2 separate regions of the Mus musculus genome follow, and region 2 is reported to be linked to region 1. The links are microRNA targets in miRTarBase. Many come from high-throughput screens and were not tested one by one. Region 1 holds a microRNA gene; the other region holds the end of a gene's coding sequence.
Evidence for each region. The annotated mature microRNA mmu-miR-107-3p reads AGCAGCAUUGUACAGGGCUAUCA and lies in region 1 at 1,210-1,232, opposite strand. An mRNA with a match to its seed (bases 2 to 7 or 8) in the 3' UTR can be bound and repressed. Matches are read on the target gene's strand: a 7mer-m8 pairs with bases 2 to 8, a 7mer-A1 pairs with bases 2 to 7 and ends in A, and an 8mer does both.

Region 1 (3,126 bases):
ACTCATCGGTCCTACCTCTTCCTGAGGATTTATACAGTCAATGGCTGATGGAGAACGGACCAACATTGTCTGTATTGCTGTGGCCACTGGTTAAGAGCCCATGCTCTTGGAAATAAACCTTCACCAATGCTTCTGTTGCCTCACCCAAAGGGACTATGGTACCTGTGTTTAATAGACCTGGCTCACTCCAGCCAACTGTGAGGCAGGAGGTGACTCTGGAAAGCAGGGGAAAGGTCACAGTTGCTCAGTGGGGCAAAGATTTGTCACTCTGCAACTGACCTTTGAGAGCCATGAACACAGCCAGCCTACCCACATGTTAGTCTTACAGCTTGTTTGGCTACTTGGAAAAACACTATGCAAAGGTTAATGCTAGAAAAATAAACCCGGATTTCCAGTGCATCTCATGACCAAAGCGGACTTTGAGAAGACATGTCTTGGGAGCCTGATCACCAGCTTCCTAAACCCAGGTGGACTAGGGACTGCCAGTAAGTGCTGACTGCTCTCCAGGTGACAGGAACATACTCTACTCAGGGTTGTGTGTGGGAGGGGTGTTTTTTTGTAACCACAAAGCTCAAATCCAGACCGAGCATGAAAACAGATACACAAACAAACAGAAGTGCTTTGTACCCTAACGCTGCTTGGAAGCGACTCCCCAGATCCCCTGGAGCTGCAGTTAAGGGCAGCCGTGAGCAACCAGACACGGATGCTGGGAAGCCAAGCTCAACTCCTCTGCAGGAGAAGCACAAGCTCTTAACTACCGACCTGTCTCTCTAGCTCTCAAAAAGGCTTTGAAGTACCTTTAAAATCTCATTTTTTGATCTAGGTAGTGACTCGTGTGTGTGTGTGTGTGTGTGTGCGTGTGCGTGTGTGTGTAATATTTACGATACTTATGATTTGAACTATCTTTTGCATGCATGTCATATTTCTATTACAAACTGCATATTGACCTACTGTGCTTCGTATACGTGTCTCCTATTACCTGTTTCACTCGCCAAGCTCTTTTGCTTGTCTTCCTAACATGTCTCAAGGAGAGGACGGTTCTACTTCTCAACCCTTGTTCCTTAGAAAGGGGTTGCACTTTTCCCTTTCCCAAAAGAACTTAGCAATCTTTCAAAACTTGTTAATAAAGCTATGCCTGTCCTCAGTGCTACACTCTCCTTACGCCTGGGGGCTCTGGCTGGCCTTGGCTGTCGCGAGCTCTCTGTGCTTTGATAGCCCTGTACAATGCTGCTTGAACTCCATGCCACAAGGCAACACTGTAAAGAAGCTGAAAGCACAGAGAAAAATATCGAGTATTGCGGGTGGAAGCATTTTCTTGTTCGGTTATCTGTGCATACACCCAGGGCTTGCCTCACATCTCCGTGGTCTACGGCAGTAATGGCAGTTAGAAAGAATGGAAGGTAGACTGGAATTTTAGCCTGCTTCCATGCGGGTATTCATTTAAAAGTAAATCCTAATATCTCCCTCCTCACTCGCTGTACCCTTCTCATGTTCGAGAAGGTGTAACCACCTAATAAAGGGCAAGTTTTCTGAGAATGACAACAGTTCTTATATTGCCAAAGATGATGCAGGGGGGTGGCCCCTGGCCGTCTCAGGGTTTAAGCCTTACCTCATTCAGTGCACACATCCGAGCAATGGAGCCAATGTTGTTGGTGATGGTGACCAATGTGGCCCGGGCGAGGTCTTCTTTGCTGATGGACTCTCTCTTTTCTTTGCTCATCATGTTGCCAAAGCTATGTTGGGAATATCATTGAGAGTGTCAAAGTCATCCCCAGGCAGGACCCAAGCTTCCACCAAGGAACTCTGGGAAGCACTATGAAAAATCCTCCTGAGACTCAAATGAGCGGACTCCACTATCACGGCTCATAAGCAGACAGTATTACACTATGAATAGCTGGCTGCCTCCTTCTTAGCAAGGGACAGAGTAGTATGACTATTAACGGGAGAGAAACTTGTAATGCTTCTAGACTAGAATGGAATGGGAGAAACCATGGCACTTTTCCAGAACCTTCTTTCAAAGTTGCCTTATCTTAAGCACAAGTATCAAGTGGTAAAGGTTTCAGCGCCTCACTAAGGACAGGAATCAAGTCTGAGGTCTGACGTGATAGATATTTGCACCAGGCTGGTAGGCTGACATGTATTTGAAAAAGCTAGATGAATGGTCAGGGCAGAGAACCTGCTTTGTGTGGATTCTCTACAGCTCCTAGCCACTTAGTCTCTACCTTGATGCTACAGCAGATCCTTGAAGGCCAAATCGCTCATAGTCTCCTCCGTAAATGTCCTTCACCAGCTTATCCACATTGGTGCTGTCGCCTTTAGCTGCCATGTCCAGAGCTTCTTCAAAGGTCTCACAACCAGTCAGCAAGCAACATAGGCCTAGGAATGTCCCACCTCCAAGACTGAAGGAACAATAAGGTTGATTTTTAAAATTGTCGCTTTGTGATATGCCCATCCAAGTCCCCAGCTACACCAAGACTATTAATATGGCTTCATAAAAATGCAGAAAGACAAAGGGGCGCTTTGGTGAAGAGCAGCGGGGCACCTGAGTCAGGGGCCAGCGTTATAACCGAACTTAAGGGTGGACTGGATCAGAAAAGAGGGCAGCAGGTATGATTAATCGTCAAGGAAAACATGCCCCTAAATTTGAGAATAAAATTGAAAAAGACTCTCACTGATTTCTGTTGTGAGACCTTCAGCCAGCTACTAGCCTAAGTGTTGTCTGCCAGCCTAAGTTCATTTTGCTCACCTTTGAAAGTGGTCAAATCATGGTTTCTTCTGTTTGGGTAGTCTGATAGCAGCACGTTACCAGTGAAATGGATGATGTCGAACATCACATTCGACTGAATGAAAATTCACAGGGGAAGCTATGGCGTGCTCATACTTCCTGACTACAGAGCCAAGGCCCCGGGATGACAAAGTCGACTCATGGCTCTGCCCCAGCCTCAAACCCAGGTGGCCTTTCCAGACACCCTACTTCTCTAGAGTATTCATCTCAATCTACCTTGGGAATTTTGAGAGAAAACTACTGCCTCCCTAATAAAATAATGTTTTCTACTAGTCTTTGGGAAAGGGTATTGCTTATTTCTAATTACCACCCAACAGTAAAAGAAAAAAAAAGTCACAAAA
Region 2 (3,074 bases), not on the chromosome of region 1:
AACTACTTAGAAATAAGCTCAAGACAGCTGACAAAAGTGAAGTTAAACTCTATACTTAAGACTCTAAAGAATACGGGAAGATTCCAGTTTAGGATAGCTGTATTTTTCTTGAGCAAAGCTAAGGAAAACAATCCTTTCTTTTTTCTTTTTCTTCCTTTCTTTTTTTTTCTTTCTTTCTTTTTTTTTTTTGGCGAAAGCAAAACCCTCAAAATTATTTTCACTTTATCACATGGATGTTAATATAGAATGGATTAGGCCTCAATGCAGTGAGTTTTATGGTCGATTTCTAGGCCCTAGCAAAAATGTCTGTATTTTGGACCTTGTTCAATGACAAGGCAGAACTCGCTGTCCAAGTGAGACCTCGAGTAGACCTTGTCCCAGAGGTTCCAGGCTGACTGTCTCGAGCGTTGGCAGTGTCGGCAGCAGAGCTGTGAGGACGAGCGCAGAACATTCTCAGCCTAGCCTCTGGCTTCTTAAAGTTTTGTTTTTGAAAAAAGAAAAAATCCTTTCTTGCGATACTGAATCAGAAGAATGTAATGTAATGTTAAAAATAAAAATAAACAGAAGAAGATGATTCCCAACCTCCAAAGCTCTCAGGAAAGACATCTAATTCTTCTCCATACAGATAACCATATGCAAAGCCGGGCGTGGTGGCGCACGCCTTTGATCCCAGCACTTGGGAGGCAGAGGCAGGCGCATTTCTGAATTCGAGGCCAGCCTGGTCTACAGAGTGAGTTCCAGGACAGCCAGGGCTACACAGAGAAACCAAAAAACAAACAAACAAATAACCACATGCATTGTTCAGCTACGAGAAACACAGTAAGGTCCATAACATACAAACACCATCTGGAGCCTACACTGCCGTGTGAAACATCAGGCAGTCTTTCAAAGCTCTACAGTGAAGCATCATCTAGCGTTTACTTAAATGTGCTCAAACACGATTCAAACAAAACTCAGCTACGCTTCCCGAAAGCTGCCTTCTACACCTTCTATGGAGTAGTGCCAGCTTAGCACTAAGCCACGGATATAATAAGGCAAAGGTGGCACAGAATGTAAAGGACTGAAAGAAAACAGTAAGGTACAGTTGTTTATAATGCCCAGGGTAGGCTGGCTCTGCAGAAAGCAGGGCTGACATGAGGCCTCAGACAAAAAAAAAAAAAAAAAAAAAAAAAGAACAAAAACCCAGAAACACATCCTGCGGACAGACAGAGAGATCACTTTAGAGAGTAAGTAGTTATCTCTAGAAGAGAGGAAAAGACATTTCCTCAGACATTACACTGACAACATACACTTAAAGATAGGAAACACCAAGTGACAGTCGGTAGTAGTCTATACACACACAGAACAAGCACTCTTCACTGCCTAGGTGACCTCAGCTGCGGCAGGGGGAAGACTGTATTACAAAGGCACAAGGGGATACTGTTAGGGTTTCGGAATGGGAGCCTACGCCCAAAGCATTCGGTGAAAGACGGTAAGCGTGCAAGCGGGTGTGGGATTGGGGCAGCTGGGCCATCTGTCGTTAGCCAGGCAGTGGCAGGAAAATGAATTAGAAGTGCTGGTGGTTGAGAGCTTCGCACTACACAAGGCAGCACAAGGCAGATGCGCCATGGTGGGTGGTGGAGACAGCTAGATGGTATTCCCGCCTCTAGTCAGAGCAGGAAGTGATTCCCTAAGGTGACAAGGTATCAAGGTATCAAGAGACGTGAAGAAAATGATAACATCTCACACCAGAAAACAGGTGCTCTCTATCTTTAAAACCTATCTGAGGTACACTCACTCCTTAAATGTATTGCAAGTAATAAGATACTTATAGCATCTTTCCCCAAAGAAACAATTAAGTACATACTGTACTATATATAGGGCCTGGGACACATTAAGTTCAGCTTTCCAAAGAGTAAATAGAAGATGTATGCCTTAAAAAGTCTCTTAAAAAATATTGTGGTTCCCCCCATTTTTTGTGGCATCTAAACCTTTATTGTTTACTGCTAGCAAAAGCTTTTGGACAGGAAGGCAACTCTGAGGACTTAGGTCCAACCTTCCTAACAAGACTCCATTGTGAATCACCTTTCACTGAACAAGCCCTTCTTACTATCAGTCACCTCTACTCTTTAAAACTCAATTATTCTTGTTTTCTACAAAAAAAAAGTAACACTTGACGAGATCAGGGGTCTTTCTCTCCCCTCCTCTTCTCTCTTACACACACATACGCATGCACACACACTCACAAGTACCAAAGCAGGCCCAGCAGCTGCAGGCGGATTACATCATAACTCAGCTGGGCCTGGATTCCCACCCTACACTGGCAGCATTCAAGGTTAGAAAACGAAATGGCAGCACAATTGGTCAGCAGCTTCTCTTCTTCTGGAAGTTTTCCAGGTTCTTGAAACAAACAGACAAAACAAACAAGTGTACAAACGAACATAAAGCTGCAATCACCCTTGCATTGATCTCTGAACAGTAAACTAGGTGGTTTCCTTGGTAAGGCAGAGCCCACCCAGAAGCTGGCAGCCAGAAGGTTGGCAGCCAGCAATCTTCAACTGCTCTGAGAGGCTTGCTTAGGGGACTCGCAGCCGCCAATGTGTTCAGATGACGAGCTCATGGGCATCCCCGTGGAACCTCAGGCTGTGTTCAGCTCCGAGGTGCTCTGGTTGGATGGCAGGTGAGAGTTCAGGTTGTCCTTGTATCTCTCCAGATCTTGGAAGTACGGGTGATTCAGGGCGCCGTAGGCGGATATCCTTTTAGCTGGATTAAACGTCAGGCATTTCTGCAATACAGAGAACATCTGGTGTGAAACATAGCACGGCCAACCCTGGACCTTGGGGGAAGTCTTGGAAAAGGTGGCTAAAATTTTTCCACAGTTCTATTTGGGGAGAAAAGTCACCAGCACGACATGAACTAAAGTAAAACACCCCGACACAAGAAGTGCTGCTTCCGTAAAAACAATTAATGTGATTACCAGACACCTGACTTAAAATTACCTTCTAGTATCACAACTTACTCAAGGGTTGAACATTCTCACCTTTCTTCAAGCTGCCCTGACCACATAACTGACCTAGGCCTTTGGTCATGGTTCT

Region 2: miRTarBase lists Cdk6 as a target of mmu-miR-107-3p. Seed matches in the 3' UTR shown: 7mer-m8 at 2,303-2,309.

Annotation. Positions count from the first base shown.
Region 1 is chr19:34,819,491-34,822,616 of GRCm38, forward strand. Mir107 (microRNA 107) reads right to left here and starts at 1,283; the gene lies at 1,197-1,283. It overlaps Pank1 (pantothenate kinase 1), which reads right to left. Exons shown (of 7, transcript NM_001114339.2): 4 at 2,223-2,399; 5 at 1,610-1,733.
Region 2 is chr5:3,520,335-3,523,408 of GRCm38, reverse strand. Cdk6 (cyclin-dependent kinase 6) reads right to left here. Exons shown (of 8, transcript NM_009873.3): 8 at 1-2,764. The coding sequence ends at 2,618. Among named protein-coding and RNA genes, the nearest start is that of Fam133b, 22 kb to the left of the region's middle.